Linked DNA regions of Macaca mulatta. The protein of the gene in region 1 purifies or fractionates together with the protein of each later gene. This does not show direct contact. Links are inferred from orthologs where the notes say so. Each region holds a gene or a part of one and is shown in the gene's direction. Other genes may lie near its edges.

The links. Proteins that work in one complex are often made in the same cells at the same time.
Region 2: the proteins of EXOC6 (region 1) and EXOC8 purify together in Homo sapiens (affinity purification with mass spectrometry; 4 studies listed by BioGRID and IntAct, counting the BioPlex papers as one, with this or other methods). This does not show direct contact. The link is inferred for Macaca mulatta from reciprocal best matches to the Homo sapiens genes EXOC6 and EXOC8.

Annotation. Positions count from the first base shown.
Region 1 is NC_133414.1:104,902,742-104,912,798, forward strand, and holds part of EXOC6 (exocyst complex component 6), read left to right. Parts: intron 1-579; coding exon 580-689; intron 690-2,947; coding exon 2,948-3,059; intron 3,060-3,891; coding exon 3,892-4,026; intron 4,027-10,057. UniProt on the Homo sapiens protein: Component of the exocyst complex involved in the docking of exocytic vesicles with fusion sites on the plasma membrane.
Region 2 is NC_133406.1:17,693,370-17,703,526, forward strand, and holds EXOC8 (exocyst complex component 8), read left to right. Parts: upstream 1-3,342; 5' UTR 3,343-3,432; coding exon 3,433-5,610; 3' UTR 5,611-5,939; downstream 5,940-10,157. Other genes in the region: DNA-dependent metalloprotease SPRTN, read right to left, coding at 1,302-1,401, 2,568-2,788. UniProt on the Homo sapiens protein: Component of the exocyst complex involved in the docking of exocytic vesicles with fusion sites on the plasma membrane.

The DNA of each region.
Region 1 (10,057 bases):
TCAGAATTTCGAATGGATAATGACTTATAAAGTAGTTTAGCCAGGAAGCACCCTGTAAGCCATTGGCTGCATACCAGTGTTTAATGGCATGGAGGTCAGAAACCTGCTATAAGGTATTCTAGGAGTAATGGAATAAACTCGATAACTTCTTGAAGTGGCATCAAGCCTTCACTGAAGGTAGGTGAAGAGAGTCTTAGAATTATTTAATTACTCTGAGCCAGAAAGCTGGCCTGTAATTTTCATGGCCACCCTGACTCTTGCATGATAAATACACAAAGAAGCAGACAGCTAGGCATCACCTACAGACAGAATACTCATCGTCAGAATACACCAGAGGTACTGGTATGTGTTTTCTCTGCTTGTTGGAAGTCTGATAGTATGATTTAAGAAACAAGGGTAAATTGCCACATTATTTTCTTCAGAAATACTTTGATAAAATATCAAAAATATAGAAATATAACAGGGTTTTTGATGCAGGTATTTGCTATTCAAGTGTGAAATCAATTTAATTACATTTTTAGTGAATAGCATGTCTTTTTCTAAAATTTCTAAAACAATATTAACTTTCTTTTTCTACAGCAATCTTTCCCAAAGAAATTCCCCATGTCTCAGTCAGTGCCTCATATTTACATTCAAGTTAAAGAATTTATTTATGCCAGCCTTAAATTTTCAGAGTCACTACACCGGAGGTAAGTTTACTAATCACAAATGCATTTTTGTCATAACTTTTATGAAACATTAATACTTTGTTTTTATGTCATAACTTTTTTTTCCTCAACTTTTATTTTAGGTTCATGGGGTACGTGTTTGTTACAAGGGCATATTGTAGAATGCTGAGGTTTAGGGTATGCTTGAACCTGTCACCCAGGTAGTGAGCACAGTACTCAATAGGTAGTTTTTCAACCCCTGCCTCCCCTTCTTGTAGTCCCCAGTATCTGTTGTTTCCATTTTTACATGCATGTGTATCTAGTGTTTAGCTCCCACTTATAAGTGAAAACATGCAGTATTTGGTTTTCTGTTTCTGCATTAGTTTGCTTAGGCTATTAGCCTCCAGCTGCATTCATGTTGCTGCAAAGGACATGATTTTGTTCTTTTTTATGGCTGTGTAGTGTTCCATGGGGTTTATATACCACATTTTCTTTATCCAATCCAACATTGCTATCAATGGAGAGGCGCTACTTGGAACTAGTGGGTAGAGGCCAGGGGTGCTGCCATAGACACCTATGTCTTTGCTATTGTGAATAGTGCTATAGTGAACATATGGGTACATGTGTCTTTTTGGTAAAATGATTTATTTTCCTTTGCATATATCCCCAATAATGGGATTGCTGGGTTGAATGGTAGTTCTTTTTGTTTGTTTTTGTTTTTGTTTTGTTTTGTTTTGAGACAGGATCTCACTCTGTTGCCCAGGCTGGAATGAAGTGGCACAATTATGGCCCATTGCAGCCTCGACCTCCTGGGCTCAAGTGATCCTCCCACCTCAGCCTTCCAAGTAGCTGGAACCACAGGTTAACGCCACTACACCTGGCCAATTTTTGTATTTTTAGTGGAGACGAGGTTTTGCCATGTTGGTCAGGCTGGTTTCGAACTTCTGGCCTCAAGCAATTCACCCACCTCAGCCTCTCAAAGTGCTGAGATGACAGGCACAATCTACTGTGCCTGGCCCACAGAGTTTTAAAAGTAGTATTTTAATAAAAAGTAAAAGGATACAAAAATGTTAGCTTATATCTAAGGCAGTAGTTCTCAACTGGGGATAATTTTGGTTCTCCTGCCACCACCTCCTCCCCACAAATTTGGCAATGTCTAGAAACATGTTTGGTTGTTACAGTTCGGGGGAGAGGCGCTACTTGGAACTAGTGGATAGAGGCCAGGGGTGCTGCCAAACATCCATATGTGCAAGGCAGTCTCCACAACAAAGTATTATCCACCGTAAAATGTCAATAGTGCCGAGATGGATAGTCCGTGGTCTAAGGACAGTTTAACTGTTGTGATAATGAGGCTGTATCCAAGGAATCATTATTTACTTAAATTGAAGGCCTAATGGTTAGGAGAAAAGAATTTGTTTTTTAGTGCTAGCTTAGTAATACTTAGGATGTTAAGAAACATCATATTAAAATTAGTTTAAGGTAATTTATTTCTTTGACGACTTAAAAAATCTTGATGAAAATGTATAACTTAGTTATATTAAAAATTAAATTTGTTAATTATATCTAGAAAGAGCTCATGTCAGTTTGTATTTTAAAAATAATTTTTAGCTGTAGTTGTGTAGGAAGTTTCTTTCAAAGTGCCTGTCTTTTGGGGCTGGGCGCGGTGGCTCACGTCTGTAATCCCAGCACTTTGGAAGTCCAAGGTGGGAGAATTACTTGAGTCCAGGAGTTCAAGACCAGCCTGGGCAACATAGCGCAACCCTGTCTCTATAAAATATTCGAAACTAGCTGGGCGTGGTGGCATGCACCTGTAGGCCCAGCTACTCAGAATGTTGAAGTATGAGAATCGCTTGAGTCCAGGACTTTGAGGCTACAGTGAGCTATAATTGCACCACTGCACTCCAGCCTGGGTGACAAAGTGAGACCCTGGCTCAAAAACAATAATAAAAATAATAAAACGGCAAAGTTACTATCCCATGATGGAGTTGGAATTTAGGAATAGTTTTATTTCCTTATACCAAGTCCTCCATGATTTTTCTGTAGTTGTTAATTGGATACATTTAAATTATGCCATATATGAATATTCTACTTTATGGAAAATGTCCCTTTTGCAAAGTTAAATTGAAGTTTGCGATTTAATAAATATGGGTCATTGTAGTTTATTTAAGGATATAAATTAATGACTTGGGGAAAATTATTTTAGTAAATTGTGTTAAATTATTTAGGATGTTAACTAACCATATTCATTATTTTTTATTAAAGTTTGTAAAAAGTTTAATAATATCAGTCTTTCTGTTTAGCTCAACAGAAATAGACGATATGCTTAGAAAATCAACAAATCTGCTGCTGACCAGAACTTTGAGTAGCTGTTTACTGAACCTTATTAGAAAACCTCATATAGGTTTGACAGAGGTAGGTTAAAAAGACACATATAGTGAAGTGTTTCATTGTATGAAACAATTATTTTAAATTATTGCTGAACATCATTTTGTAAAACTAGCTTCCTGTTTTAAATGTATTAATGTAAGCAGATTTGTTTTCAAAATGAAAATAACCAGTGTAAATTCCAGAAATGTGAGGATGCCAGGCACAGTGGCTCACACCTCTAATTTGAGAGCTTTGGGAGGCCAAGGCAGAAGGATTGCTTGAGGTCAGGAGTTTGAGACCAGCCTGGGAAATATAGTGAGACCCTGTCTCTACAAAAAATGAAGAATATTAGCCAGGCGTGGTATTGTGCAACTGTATTCCTAGCTACTCTGGACTTGAGCTCAGGAAGTTGAGGCTGCAGTAAGTGACACTCATACCACTGCAGTACACAGCCTGGGTGACAGCAAGACCCTGTCTCTGGAAGAAAAAAAAAAGTGAGGGAAAAGGGTTCATATGGGGAATAGTAGATAAAGATGTTAGAACATCTGTTTAGATTTCTGATTGCCAGACTACAGGAAAAGCCAAAATCCTAATTTTTTACTTGCTAAATGTTTAAGATTTGAAACATACTATGAAAAGTTATTTTAAAATAACTGGCAGTTAGATTCTTGATATGTGTGTGTGTGTATATATATATATATAAAAATTCATAAGCAGTATTTGCAGCAGGCTTTTAAAATCAGATAGTTGTATCCTATAATGCTGTAGTTATGTAGATATGGTACAGTTGCTGGAAGTAATAATCCTATTTTTAAAAATTAGGTGATTTTACATACATGTAACCTGTATTTTACTGGATATATCTTGTGTTTTCTAGCTGGTGCAAATCATCATAAACACAACACACCTGGAACAAGCTTGTAAATATCTTGAGGACTTTATAACTAACATTACAAATATTTCTCAAGAAACTGTTCATACTACAAGACTTTATGGACTTTCTACTTTTAAGGTATGTAAAAATTTGACCAAAAGTTTTCATTTCAGTCACTGTAAACAAACGTTAAGAAATTAAAGACTGTTCTTATTATATGCAAGATCTACTATATTCCTAAAAATTAAGAATAGAGGTAATCATTGTCAACAATGAGCAGATAAATGTAAGGTTTTTTTTGGCACCGTAAACATCTTATTAACATGGAGAAAAGTATACTTATTTTCTACAATGTATTACGCTTTGTTCATGTTTTGATGATTTATAGTAGTGCTGAATAGGTCTAACTGAATTAATATTTCACAGTTTAAAAATTAATTCTATATGAGTGTTTATGTTTGAAAATTTTAAATGTAAGACAAATTAAATAAGGATAGATTTGTTTTCCATCCTTGACTGGTTCTGATCTGAAGAAAAGCAAGTATTATTACATGTCATTGAAGTCCTGCCTGTTTTGTGGATGGGAAGATTTCTGTTTTAATAATATACAGGATATACTGAGGATTAATTAACGGTTGTTTTAGGTAGAATGTAAGATTAAATAATTTCATAAGCTATTTTATTATTTTATTGATTTGGAGTCATAGATGAGACACTAGCTTAGTCTAGTGTATATAAATCCCCTTGCATTGAATATTTTGTTAAACTAATGATAAACCATGTACTGATCACTTATCTGCAAAATGGGCTTGCTAATTCAACCTTATAGCTCTTTCTAAAAGTTTCCTGTTAAAAAGAATTCTCTTTAACTACTTTTGTTATATTATCAATCACCCCCAAGATTTTGTTGTAATAACTTGCATTTTAAAAAATGAATGTACTGGCTGGGCATGGTGGCTCACGCCTGTAATCCCAGCACTTTGGGAGGCCGAGGCTGGCGGATCACAAGGGCAGGAGATTGAGACCATCCTGGCTAACACGGTGAAAGCCCGTCTCTACTAAAAATACAAAAAATTAGCTGGGCGTGGTGGCAGGTGCCTGTAGTCCCAGCTACTCGGGAGGCTGAGGCAGGAGAATGGCATGAACCCGGGAGGTGGAACTTGCGTTGAGCGGACATCACGCCACTGCACTCCAGCCTGGACAACAAAGCAAGACTCCATCTCAAAAAAAAAAACAAAACAAAAAAATGAATGTTCTTGTGTTTAAAAATAACTAATTTAATGTTAACATTTAACCATACTTTGAAAGTGTGAAGTCCACAAACAACCCTGGAATGCTAGAATTATCTGCTTGGCCCCCAAATATTATGCTCCTCTGGTGCCTCTTGAGCTAAGTAGTCATTTCAATACATAAGACACAAATGCAGAATGATACCTGAATCAGCAGACTTAACAAAATTAGTTATTAAAACTTAGAAGCCTAAAAAAGCAGGCATTCATTTATTCAGATAATATAGTACAGTGATTAAATTCATATACTCTGAAGTTAGATTGCTCTGTGGTCTTGGGCAAGTTCTTTAATGTGATTCCAAGTTTCTTTATCTATAAAATTAGAGTAACAGTACAGTACTTACTTCATGTGATCATTATGAGGAGTAAAGAAGACACTTAGCACAGAACCATTCACTGTATATAAATCATGCTCTGAGCACTCTGTTTAGACTCTGAGAATACAAAAATGTATCCCTGCCCTCAAGAAGCTCAGAGGAGGAAAAAAATAAAAGACACTTAACAATGTGGTATGGTAAGTGTGATAATATAGGAGGAGACGCCACAAGTTTTTAGTCACTTACTTATCCAAGGACAAATTGATTCTTAGCTTTTATGTTAGATTTTACATAATGCCTCTACTTTCTCTTCATTGTTCTTTCTGTCCTTACATCCATGTGTTACTCATACTCTGTCAAGAAGGGATTTCTCAGGCTTAGAATTGTAGGCATATTTAACTGTTAACATTACATTTAATATGCTTACCCAGTACTCTCTGATTAAAACATGAATTACTTTAGCATCTTGTGTTTCTAGGGATCTTAGAGTAATTTTCTTATCGATTATAAGCCAAAGAACCAAAGATACTGGAACACAATGCTCTTAGATTAGGGGATCTTGGAACTGTATTTCTCAAAATCTGCCTGTTGGGAAAGAATGTTTAGAAATGTTAGCTCTGGTTCATCATTCCAGAGTTGAAACCACAACTGTCATTGCATACTCCTTGGTGGATTTCCTTGGAAATCAAGTTCTGCTCTGTAAATAGCGAAGCATCTTTGTTTTTTGTTGTTTATTTGTTCGTTTTGTTTTCACACAGAACTCAGTAAATGCTTTTCTGTTTTCTAATATGTGAGCAAGAGCTGTTTTCATCTTAATATTTGAAGGTCAAGTATTTTTCAGTTCTATCTTTTGGTCTGTTTCAAGAGGAATTTGTCTCAAAATGTGATAAGGGGAAGTACTTCAACAGGGAGGATTGTTAAATCAATATTAAAGTGAATTACTGAGGGACACTGGGGAATTTCCATTCACAGTGAATAGTCTGTTGCCTCTTTCACAGAAACGATTGAAGTACAGTCTTGACTGTAGACATTTGATTGGATTATTTAGCCTATTAGCCTGATTTTTTTTTCAGTTCAGTGACCCTAGAAAACATATTTCTATTTGATTGCTTAATGATTCTGGAAACAAGCACTTAATGATACCTATACCTCCATTTGCTTCCCTTCCAAAAACTACGTATGCACACACAAACTGCCTGATCTTGTGTCATATATATTTAGGTTATGAAATAGTGTATAGACAGTTTTGTTAACTTGTTTGCTAACTCTGTAAGTGACATAAAAGAAGTTCATTAAGTAGTTCCTACCCTCAAGCAGTACCTCAGCTTTTTGAAAGTAACTCAGACCCAAATAGAGAGCTACTTAAAGCTAATATAAGACTTCTCTTAACTGGAAAAATTTGCATCAATATAGATGAAAAAAACGGAAATACCATCCCCTTTCTAACTTGTGTGGTAGAGAAATAGTCCAGTTGTTTCTCTTTGGCGTCAGGGATCTTTAACTTGACTCCAAGGAGCTCTTCCAGCCTGCTACTCTGAAGACTTTTCTTTTGAGTCCTGGCAGTAATTGCAACTGTCAATGCCTAGAAGAAATGCACTTCTGATTCTTTTTCTAACTTGCTTTTTTTTTTTTTCTTTTTGTCTGCTAATAACTATGTAGCGAAGCTTTTCAGGATTGTGGCTGAAGTGACAGTAGTAAATTGTCTTTAAGGGCTTGAAATTCTCTTCCTATGGAGCAAGGACATGGTACATGTCAGTTCTCCCCAACTTGATCTACAGATTTAATATATTCCCTGTTAATATCCCAGCAAGTTTTTCTGTGGATGTTGACAAAGTGATCTTTAACTTTATATGGAGACAGAAGACCCAGAAGAACCAACAGAGTATTGAAGAAGAACAAAGTTGGAGGACTGATACTACCCATCTTCAAGACTTTCTATACAGCTGTAGTAATGAGGCTGGGTGCCGTGGCTAACACCTGTAATCCCAGCACTTTGGGAGGCCGAGGTGGGCAGATCATGAGGTCAAGAGATCAAGACCATCCTGGCCAACATGGTGTAACCCTGTCTCTACTAAAAATACAAAAATTAGCTGGGTGTGGTGGTGTGCACATGTAATCCCAGCTACTCGGGAGGCCGACGCAGGAGAATCGCTTGAACCTGGGAGGCAGACGTTGCAGTGAGCCGAGATCGTACCACTGCACTCCAGCCTGGCGACAGAGTGAAACTCCGTCTCAAAAACAAAACAAAACAAAACAAAGTTGTAGTAATAAATAAGATGTGGTATTGGACAAACAACAGACAAATAGATTAATGGAACAGATTAAAGACCCCAGAAATAGACCCACATAAATATAGTCAACTGAATTTTGACAAAGGAGCAAAGGTAATAAAATGTAGCAAAGATAGTTTTTTCAGCAAATAGTGCTGGAACAACTGGACATCCACATGCAGAAAAATGAATCTAGACCAGACCTTATACCCTTCACAAAAACTGACTCAAAATGTTTCACAGATCTATATGTAAAATGCAAATTGATAAAACCCCTAGAAGATAACATAGGAGAAAATCTAGATGACCTTGGGTGGGGCAATGACTTTTTAGTCTTGATTGTTCCCCAAAGGAACAATCCATGATAGAAATCATTGATAAACTGAACTTCATTAAAAATTTAGACTTCTATTCTATGAAAGACCGTGTCAACAGAATGAGAAGACAAGCCACAAAATTGGGAGAAAATATTTGCAAAAGACTTATCTGGTAAAGGACTCTTGTCTGAAATATGCAAATAACTCTTAAAACTCAACAAGAAGAAAATGAACTATTGATTTTAAAATGGGCCAAAGATCTTAACATATACCTCAGCAAAGAAGATAGAGATGCAGATAAGCATATGAAATGATGTTCCATATATATATCATAAGGGAAATGCAAATTAATACAACAATGAGATAGCACTACACACCTATTAGAGTGGCCAAAATTCAGAACAATGACAGCATCAAAAGCTGACAAAGATGTGGAGCAACAGAAGCTCTTACTCATTGCTGGTGGGAATGCAAAATGCTACAGCCTCCTTGGAAGACCGTTTGGCAGCTTCTTATAAAGTGAAACACAGTCTTACCATATGATGCAGCAATTGTGCTTCTTGGTATTTATTCCAAGGAGTTGAAAACTTAGGTTTACCCAAAAACTTATACATGGATGTTTATAGCAGCTTTATTCATAATTGCCCAAACTTGGAAGCAACCAAAATGTCCTTCAGTAGGTGAATGTATAAATAAACCCTGGTATATCTGGACAATGGAATATTATTAAGTACTAAAAGGAAATGAGCTATCTAGCCGTTGATATGGATGAAACTTAAATGCATATTATTAAGTGAAAGGAGCCAATCTGAAAAGGCTACATATTGTATGATTGCAACTATGTGACATTCTGGAAAAGAGAAAGCTATGGAGACAATAAAAAAATTAATGGTAGCCAGGGGTGAGGGAGTGGTGGAGGGGTAAATAAGTGAAGCTCAGAGGATGTTTAGGGCAGTGAAACTATTGCTCTAGAAGTATATAATTGTGTATACATGCATCAAAACCCATAGAATGTAAAACACTATGAGTGAATCCAGTGTACACTGTGGACTTTGGAATTTGTGGGGTATGTAGTAAATCTCTGTAGTTTCTGTTCAGTTTTGCTGTTAACCTAAAACTACTCTAAAAAATAGTCTGTTTAAATTGCGAAAGAAAGGTGAACACACTTGTAACTATGAGATGAAGAAATAAAGCATTACTAGCACTGTAGAAGCCTTCCTCATTCCTCTCCTTTGTCACTATCTCTTTTCCTCTCAGTACTGACTTTTAACGGCACAGAGTAGTTTTGCCTGTTTCTGAGTTCTATTTAAATGAAATCACACAGAGTGCTTCTTTTTGTGTATCTGACTTCTTTTACTCAGCATGACTTGGGGTATTTCATTTGTGGTGTTGTATGTAGCTGTAGTTTATTTATTTTGAATTCAATATGGTATTCCACGATAGAATTTACTACACCTTATTTATTTGTGTGTGAACTGTATCACTTTTGGCTATTTAGAAACCTTTCTTTTGCTTTCTTACTGGTTATTGACTGGATACGTGACCTCTTTCTGAGATATTACCGTATGAGTAAAAGATAATTTACGTTTATTTAATTTTTAGTTGTGAATATACAAATTCAGAAACTGGCATAAACATTTAGAACTAATGAGGTATTATTGGCAGTTTAAAAATTTTTCATTTTAATTAAAATGTTATACTGTTTTATACATGTAAAGTTGATTTATTGCTTTGTGAAGGCACTTGCAAAATTACGCCTTGACTGATTAATTGCATGTCAGCTTCTGATTACTTATATGCTTTTTTATTGATGGAGTGTTCCTTTGTAAAATTCCTTGTATTGTGTATGCAATTTGATTGCCATTTTAAAAAGGCAGTGTATATGACATTTATTTCTTTTGTCATCCTTTACCACCAACTTCTTCTTTTCTGGTCTTCCCCCATTACAGAGGACCGTATAAAGCAGTTTTATGCTT
Region 2 (10,157 bases), on another chromosome or scaffold:
TTAATGGAGTGTTTAGTCCACTGACATTTAATTATTGATACTTTGTTTACACCTACCTTTCTCTTTGTATCATCTGAGCTTTGTTCTTTTTCATTCATCAAGTATTTCTACTGTACCATTTTACATTTAGTAGCTATTTTTTAAACAAATTGTGGTAAAAAAAAATTAACAAAATTCCCCATCGTACCCATTTTTATGTGTACAGTTCGGTGTTGAGTATATTCACATTGTCATGTAATCCACTGCCTTTTATTATCCTTAAAAACAGCATCTCTCATCTCCAAGCATGTTTTAATATGTTTCCCACCCCATGCTGAGAAACTACCACCCTGCTCTTTTGTACAGATTTTTTGTTTTTTTGGGTTTTTTTGAGACGGAATTTCGCTCTTATTGCCCAGGCTGGAGTGCAATCGCGCAGTCTCAGCTCACTGCAACCACCACCTCCTGGGTTCAAGAGATCCTCCTGCCTCAGCTCCCACTGCTCCATTCTGCTAGCAGAAGTACCAGCTCTAAATGTGAAGCGTGCACGCACACTGGTTTCTGCTGCCAGCTCGGCTAGGTGTCCTGAGCACACAGCAGTGTGGCAGCCCAACTGAGGAGAATGAAAATTTGTGTTTCTCAACAGGAAGATGTGGATCCTGTTTTCTCTGCTTCTAAATACATAACTTAAGCCAGTTACTTCACCTTTCTGAACCTTAATTTCTTTACTCATAAAAATGAAAATAGCAACACATGAACATCAACAGGGCTGTTGTACAATCAAAGCAGATAATATACCTAGAAGCCTTTTTTTTTTTTTTTTTTTAAGATGGAGTCTGGCTCTGTAGCCCAGGCTGGAGTGCAGTGGTGCAATCTCGGCTCACTGCAAGCTCCGCCTCCCAGGTTCACACCATTCTCCTGCCTCAGCCTCCCGAGTAGCTGAGACTACAGGCGCCCGCCACCACGCTCGGCTTTTTTTTTTTTTTTTTTTTTTTTTTTTTTTTAGTAGAGACGGGGTTTCACCGTGTTGGTCAGGATGTTCTCGATCTTCCGACCTCGTGATCCACCCGCATCGGCCTCCCAAAGTGCTGGGATTACAAGCGTGAGCCACCGCACCCGGCCTCTAGAAGCCTTTTTTTTTCCCACTATGAAGCACTATAAAAAACATAAGGTGTTCATTATTATTTGCCCCATAATTCAAGTTTGCACTGAGGGCAAAGAGACTTTTTAAAAGATACATACAGGTGAATTCACAGCAGTCTAAATCAATGACAAGCATTTGTAAATTACTGAGCTAGGAAGCAAGTTTACATGAAAAATACCTCTACAAGATCCTTTCTTGGTCTCAACTTTAAAAGGGGTTCGCTGAGACGGATGGAACACATTCCACCCTTCCCTTCATAGCTGCATATCCCAGCACACCTAGAAAACAATCACCATAAAAATGTGTTACATTGACCAAATACGCCCAAGTCCTTACACATTCTTGGGCAGTGCACACTAAGAGAACTCATTTGGCAGATGGCTTTCTTGAGAGTATACCCCCTTGGTTAGCAGATACTTGCATTTCACCCAATTAATTAGTTACAGCCCCCGGGGGCGCCTCCCGCGATGGCTCCCCGGCCAGGCGAGGAAGGAAAGCAGCGCCCTCTCACCACCCTGCTTGAGAAGGTGGAAGGCTGCAGGCACCTGATAGAGACGCCAGGACAGTACCTGGTGTACAACGGGGACCTAGTGGAATACGATGCGGACCACATGGCCCAACTGCAGCTTCCCTTGCCCTAGCTAGGCTGCAACAGCTCGAAGGCAATCCCATTCTGCTACTCCCAGTCTCCTTACGACAAATCACAGTTTGGTGTTATTAACAAGCAGGTATCTCCAATAGTGTATCTCCAAAATGATAACAGACGCCTGTATAAAGGAGATTGGTACTTTAAACACAATTTAATATGATATCTTAATTTGTTTGTAGGTTGTTTTCTGTCAACTCAAAAACAAGCATGCTGGTGGTATACAACTGTATCTTAAACTTCACCCTATTCACGTGCAGGAGTAGATTATTATTTCAAATAAGGATTTCTCAAATTTAGCATGTAGAAAAAGAATCGTTTTAAAAGCATCACTGAAGATCCCCACTGCAACACACGAGCTCACTAAAGTGGGTTCCTAACGGGAAAGAGAGGAGGGGAACGCACATCCTTTGGAGGTTACTCTGCGTCCTCAGCACTTTCTTAGGGGCAGATTTGGTTGCTTTTCCCTTCAGGGTCCTACAGCACTATCATAAGGCAAATCAGGAACTTGTTATTTTCAAGTTTAGTGAGATTCAAACACAAATCTCTTTTCTCGTTAGGGCCCTGAGTCCAACCGTGGCGGTGGGGTCTACACAGCTTTCTTATTTTTCGAGTGGGAGAAAAGGTAAGAAAAAGAGAAATACGCCAAGGCAGGAATTGCCAGGTCCAAAACCAGACTCCCCCCTCATTTAATGCCCCCTGGGACCGTCGGACCAGAGAAAGGAGAGAAGACCAGGACCGGGGGCTGCAGGAGAACTGCCAGTCCCGCCTCTTTCCCCAGCGGGGCTCGGAACTCACAGGGTCATTCGCACGCTCCACTTCACCTCGACGGCCTCCAGCTGGCCCCAGAAGAACTGGTCGTTAAACTGAACAAACAGGGCCTGCAAGTCCGGTGTGGGGTCCACCAACTCCCACGACGCGTCCACTAGCGACAGGGACTCCTGGGCCTGATCGCGCTCCGCCTCCTGCAAGTTCCACTCCTCCTGAAGCCGCAGGGCCAACATCAGGTCATCGTCCATCGTTGCCAGGATCACAGGCGGGATCCGCCGGTGTCAGGCTGGCTCCGAGTTAGGCTGCGACCCCAAGCCGCCTAGCGGAGGACCAGGACTAGCTCCTAGGAGATACCGGCTCTCGAGACGGCCAGTCAATCCCGCGAGAGTTCGCGGAAACTCGCTTGAGAAAGAGAACGTGAACGAGAACGGCGCTTACCCCAAACGCCGAAGCCAAGATTCTAGGGCTTTAAAACAAGCAGTCAGCACGACACCTCCTAGTGGGCGCAGAACCTGGGCTCACAGGGCACCGGCCCTACGAAGCTTTCAGGAAGCTAGTTCCAGCCTTTACTCTTTGCCGGTTATTTCAAACCTCAACGTCACGCTCGGTTCATGCGCAGTACTCAAATTGCTCTCGGCCTCTCCACTCACTTCCGCACTAGCTCCTCCGGCGCATGCGCCTTAACTGATGGCATTCCTGCGCAGGCGCAATGTCTGCGCCTGGCCCCTTGCGCAGGCGCAGTGTCTGACGCTCAGACCCGGCGCAGGCGCACTCGTCTTGTTCCAATTCCTGCTTCCTCAGCCCAGGAGCTCGGTGGGTCTTGGGTGGGTGTAGACAGCCGCGGCGGCTGCGGCGCCGATAGTGACAGTGAGTGCGTGAGACCCGGACGGAAATGGCGATGGCGATGTCGGACAGTGGGGCGAGCCGCCTGCGTCGGCAGCTGGAGTCAGGGGGTTTTGAGGCGCGGCTGTACGTGAAGCAGCTCTCGCAGCAGTCGGATGGGGACCGGGACCTCCAGGAGCACCGGCAGCGCATCCAGGCGCTGGCGGAGGAGACGGCGCAGAACCTGAAGCGCAACGTCTACCAGAACTACCGGCAGTTCATAGAGACGGCCCGTGAGATCTCCTACCTGGAGAGCGAGATGTACCAGCTCAGCCACCTGCTGACGGAGCAGAAGAGCAGCCTGGAGAGCATCCCGCTTACGTTGCTGCCTGCCGCAGCTGCCGCCGGAGCCGCTGCCGCGTCTGGCGGGGAGGAGGGAGTCGGTGGGGCGGGGGGCCGAGACCACCTCCGAGGCCAGGCCGGTTTTTTCTCCACCCCCGGTGGCGCCTCCCGCGACGGCTCCGGTCCAGGCGAGGAAGGAAAGCAGCGCACTCTCACCACCCTGCTTGAGAAGGTGGAAGGCTGCAGGCATTTGCTGGAGACGCCGGGACAGTACCTGGTGTACAACGGGGACCTAGTGGAATACGATGCCGACCACATGGCCCAACTGCAGCGGGTGCACGGCTTTCTCATGAACGATTGTTTGTTGGTGGCTACCTGGCTGCCGCAGCGGCGGGGGATGTATCGCTACAACGCTCTCTATTCCCTAGATGGTTTGGCCGTAGTCAATGTCAAGGACAACCCGCCCATGAAGGACATGTTCAAGCTGCTTATGTTCCCCGAGAGCCGTATTTTCCAGGCCGAAAATGCTAAAATAAAACGAGAGTGGCTGGAAGTGCTGGAGGAGACCAAGAGAGCCCTCAGTGAGAAAAGGCGAAGGGAGCAGGAGGAGGCAGCGGCCCCTCGAGGGCCACCCCAAGTGACTTCCAAGGCCACTAACCCATTTGAGGATGACGAAGAAGAAGAGCCAGCTGTTCCTGAGGTAGAGGAAGAGAACGTGGACCTCTCCATGGAATGGATCCAGGAGTTACCTGAAGACCTGGATGTCTGCATTGCGCAGAGGGACTTTGAAGGGGCTGTTGACCTGCTGGATAAATTGAACCATTACCTGGAAGATAAGCCTAGCCCACCTCCTGTAAAAGAACTAAGGGCCAAAGTGGAGGAGCGAGTTCGACAGCTCACTGAGGTGCTGGTTTTCGAACTCTCCCCAGATCGTTCCCTGAGAGGTGGTCCCAAGGCTACTCGCAGAGCAGTTTCGCAACTGATCCGGCTGGGCCAGTGCACGAAGGCCTGTGAGCTATTTTTGAGAAACAGGGCAGCCGCTGTTCATACAGCAATTCGTCAGCTTCGCATTGAAGGCGCCACTTTACTCTATATTCATAAGCTGTGCCATGTCTTCTTTACCAGCCTTCTTGAGACTGCAAGAGAATTTGAGATTGATTTTGCAGGCACTGACAGCGGCTGCTACTCCGCCTTTGTGGTCTGGGCAAGATCAGCCATGGGCATGTTCGTGGATGCTTTCAGCAAGCAGGTGTTTGATAGTAAGGAGAGCCTCTCAACAGCAGCTGAGTGTGTAAAAGTGGCTAAGGAGCATTGCCAGCAACTGGGTGATATCGGACTGGACCTCACCTTCATCATCCATGCCCTTCTGGTGAAAGACATCCAAGGGGCCTTGCACAGTTACAAAGAAATCATCATTGAAGCCACTAAACATCGCAACTCTGAAGAGATGTGGAGAAGGATGAACTTGATGACGCCAGAAGCCCTGGGGAAGCTCAAAGAAGAGATGAAAAGCTGTGGGGTAAGTAACTTTGAGCAGTACACAGGGCATGACTGCTGGGTGAACCTAAGTTACACAGTGGTTGCTTTCACCAAACAGACCATGGGCTTCTTGGAAGAGGCTCTGAAGCTGTATTTCCCAGAGCTGCACATGGTACTTTTGGAGAGCCTGGTGGAAATCATTTTGGTTGCTGTTCAGCATGTGGATTATAGTCTTCGATGTGAGCAGGATCCAGAGAAGAAAGCTTTTATCAGACAGAATGCATCCTTCTTATATGAAACAGTCCTCCCTGTGGTGGAGAAAAGGTTTGAAGAAGGTGTGGGGAAACCTGCCAAGCAACTCCAAGATCTGAGGAATGCATCTAGACTTATTCGTGTGAATCCTGAAAGTACAACATCAGTGGTCTAATGCTTGGGTCTGTTTATATGTATGTATATATATAGAGAGAGCGCTTATATATTATTTATATTTATATTAAGTTGTATTAGCATACTCTTTATAGTTTCAAACACAACTTGAAAATTAAAAGTGCCCTCTTAGAATACAAAAATCAAAAAGAGGAAAAGAAGTTAAATTAAGCCCAAATAACAAAAATACTGGAATTATTAAAACATATAGTATGCTAGCTATCCTTTTAAATTATGCTGATTCTCTTCTGAAATTATGGTCACACTATACACTATAGCATTTCAGTTTCATCCTTTGATAAAACACTTTTTGGTTTTTTTTTTTTTTTTTTGAGACAGGGTCTCACCCTGTTGCCCAGGCTGGAGTACAGTGGCAACGTCACAACTAACTGCAGCCTTGACCTCCCAGGCCCAGGCAATCCTCTCACCTCAGCCTCCCATGTAGCTGGAACCACAGGCTGGCACCACCATACCCAGCTAATTTTTGTATTTTTTGTAGAGATGGGGTTTTACCATGTTGCCCAGGCTAGTGTTTTCTTTCTTCTTTTTTTTTTCCGCACAGTATATATTATACAGCAGAGTAATAATATCTATAAACATAGAGTTTATGTTGTGAAAATTTTCCCAGTTCACTAAAAGGTTTCCTAAAGGGTACAGTGCAGTATAAAACACCCTGCCTCATTTATTTCTCCTCAAAACGTTGGACTATTTGGGAAAAAGAAAAGCGTTGGGAAAATTGGTTTTAGGGTAAGTTTTAGTCAAAAGAGTTCTTTCTTGAAACTAGCTGGTGTGTGGATTCAGATACTCTGATCCTTACAGAATCCAAGAGGAAGCTTTCATAAAAACAATTCAGCAACTATTTCTAATATTATTTGAATGGCTAATTTTCAGTTGCTAATTAGCAGCTTTGTAATACTTGATTCAGGAGCGTTTACTTGGAAATCCTAAGGACTGTAATAAAATTTTTCAACATATTTCTAAATTGCGTGAGTTTCCAACTGTAGCTTTTGCCTTTGTCACATTTTAAAAAATAATAATAGGCAGGACACATTGGGGACTCTGGCAGCAGTTGCCAGGTTTTAGCTGCCACTGCTTCAGTTTGAGATACAGCTGTCCCATCCTCCCCCATTCAGGGTAGGATATATAGTGGCCTAGATGTCATGCAAATGGAAAAAAAGTTTTAACTGAAATATTTATTTAGATTTCAGGGTCTAGATGGATGGGAAATTAGAAAAACATATGCAAATCTCAGTGTTCTCACTATGACTACTCTGAGCAGAGATTCGGTTTTGTTTCTTTTTGTACCAAAGTGAAAACAGGTGAGACAATGTGCCCAAAACAAAGGGAAGATGAGAACCTTCTGTGACTTCTAAAATGTTCCATGCTGCATTTTTCTTGTTTCATTTTTTTAAACATGAATATAATGCTTCAAATTGTTTAGTAAAACAAAATCAGAAATGTGAGCTTCCCAAGGTTTCTAAACTATCGCTTCTATTGTATGTTCTATAACATTCCTTATACTTTGAGAGAAACTATGCTTGCTGTGATCCATTTTGTCTCTAGCTTCTAGTTGTGATTCTTGTCCATAAGCACCAAATTTGATGCCCATGATTTCAAAAGGTCATTTCTTTTATCTAAATGAAAATGGTGGTACTAAGACTGTGAAAATTATGTGAAACCTAAAATAGTTGCCAAAATGGCTCAGGGTTGTAAAATTCATTGACTTAATTATTCATGTGCCAGATCAACCCCTTTATTTTCGCTTTAGCTATGCATATTTAAAATATTGGAAAGTATCAGATTTACAGATTTTCTTTTGACTACGTTTTTTCACATAACTTTAGGATTTTCGAAAGTTATAACCATAACTGGATATCTTAGCTGAGCAAAGGCAGTTATAATTTGTCTTTTTAAGATCACTGGAAATTGTTAAAATTTTGTGGTAATTATGATTATTCTGTGCCATTTACAGTTTCTAATACTATACTGTATGAAATATGTATAAATATATGATGCTGGGTCTGTGAAATGATACTTCTGAAATCAAAATTCCTCATAAGGCATGAAGTTGTAAAAACTTAAATGTGTATAGTTAGATATTTAAATGGTTGCTTCTTCATAGAATTGTCTGCTTTTTGAAACTGGAAGTACAGGATTTTCTTCAGGTAAAATCTGTGTGTTCCAATTACAGTTGTAGCTGAAGGAAGTATGCTTTTGGTAAGTCAATTAGTGTGGTAAGTTGACAAAAGACCCCCAGTGTTGTACCCAGACAGAACAATTATGTTACATTCCTCTAAGTGGAGTGGGCTTTCTTCTCTAATTATTTTGTTTTATTAAACTCAAAGACAAGTTCTAAAAATTGAATGCAATGAGAGATTGTCCAGAAATATAACATATACTAAAATATACCACTTAAGCATTGATTGACTCTTCTTGTTTACTTCAAGAATATAAAACTTGTCACTTGAGCTTGGAATCATGGGCTTGACTGAATTAATTACTCTTGGGAAAAAAGGCACCTTGTGGCATTAAGTCTCGTTTTGATTAAAGCCTCATTTCACATAATTGCTAAAAACTCACTTTTGTTTAATATACTACCTATAGTTTAATTATCAGCACTTGTATTTTGTAACTTGATATCTTACCTAGGATTGGGAATTTGGGACATGACATGTACTATAAAAGTCAGTCTATGTACATATTGCTTATTGATGTGCTGTGATATGAGGGAATCTGAAATGTTTCATAAAAATAAAGCTTAAACATTGTCTTACACTGGATAAAAGTGATATTATAATATTATATCTATTGCTCTTCTTTAGTATTCAATATTTTTATATTCTTGTTACTGAAATATTCTTTGAAGACCTTAGTTTTTTGTTTTATTTATGTGGGGAGGATAGTTAGGAAGCAGTTTGCTAAATTAAGTAAGTGTTCTGCTTACCATCAGAATTGTGAATAAATCAGATCTCAATTTTTTAAGATTTCCTTGAATGGAAAATTTCAGAGGTACAAAATGTGAATTTATTCTAAAAAAGTAGATTTTGGCCGGGCGCGGTGGCTCAAGCCTGTAATCCCAGCACTATGGGAGGCCGAGACGGGCGGATCACGAGGTCAGGAGATCGAGACCATCCTGGCTAACACGGTGAAACCCCGTCTCTATTAAGAAATACAAAAAACTAGCCGGGCGAGGTGGCGGGCGCCTGTAGTCCCAGCTACTCGGGAGGCTGAGGCCGGAGAATGGCGTGAACCCGGGAGGCGGAGCTTGCAGTGAGCTGAGATCCGGCCACTGCACTCCAGCCTGGGCGACAGAGCGAGACTCCGTCTCAAAAAAAAAAAAAAAAAAAAAAAAAAAAAAAAAAAAAATAAAAAAATAAAAAAAATAAAAAAGTAGATTTTATACCATCTGCACATTTCTAAATAAATAAAATAAAATGTAGGCCACAAGACCTAGAAACTAAATGACAAGGCTCAGCATTTTTTTTTCTTTTTTTTTTTTTTTGAGACAGAGTCTTCCCATGTCGCCCAAGCTGGAGTGCAGTGGCACGATCTCTGCTCACTATGTCGGCCTCCGGGGTTCAAGCCATTCTCCTGTCTCAGCCTCCTGAGTAGCTGAGATTACAGGTGCCCGTCACCATTCCCGGCTAATTTTTGTATTTTTAGTAGAAATGGGGTTTCACCATGTTGGCCAGGCTGGTCTCGAACTCCTGACCTCAGGTGACCCACCGGCCTCGGCCTCCCAAAGTGCTGAGATTACAGGCGTGAGCCACCATGCCTGGCCAGGCTCGCCCTTTTGAAAGTAATATGTATATACTGAGGAAATTATCTCATATTTAAAAGTATCGAATGCTATGCTTCATATTGACTGTAATGTGGGAGTGCAGAAGACAAAATAATTTTAAACATACTTTGTCCTCTTAAGATGCTTAGAAATTGGAAAAAGTCGACAAATGTAAGTGAGAGAAAAATGCACAGCTGTGTACAGTGGGAATACCAAGAAGGAAGAGAGCAGTGTACTTTTAAGGAGTTCAGAAAGTTCTCATGGAATTGTTGGCATTTGAGCTGGTCCTTGAAGAATGGACAAGATTAAATGTGCAAAGAAAAAGGAAGAGGAGGACCTGAGCCCAAGGCACAGAAGTGGGAATGTGGGTGTCATATGAAGAGACCTTCCTGGATAGATTGCAGAGTTTGGAAAAGCGTAAATAAGCCACACTTGCCTACAAAGGAAACTTCAATCCATATGCAATGTGCAGAAGAGTTAAAGTAAAAAGTCAAAGTCCTCATACCACAACAATCCCACTCACCAGAGGTAACCACTAGTAAGAATTTCATACACATATTTTTCCAGAAATTGGATCATACTCTGCATACAGTTCTGCATCTTGATTTTAGTCACTTAGCAATTCGGTGTTTTTAAGACATCTCACGTCAGTACCTCTAGCTGTACCTCACTGGGTTTTTCTTCTGCGATTGGGTAGTATTCAATCACAGTGAATGAATATATCATAATTTTGCATTTTCTAATTACTTGGTTGGCTTCAAGTTTTG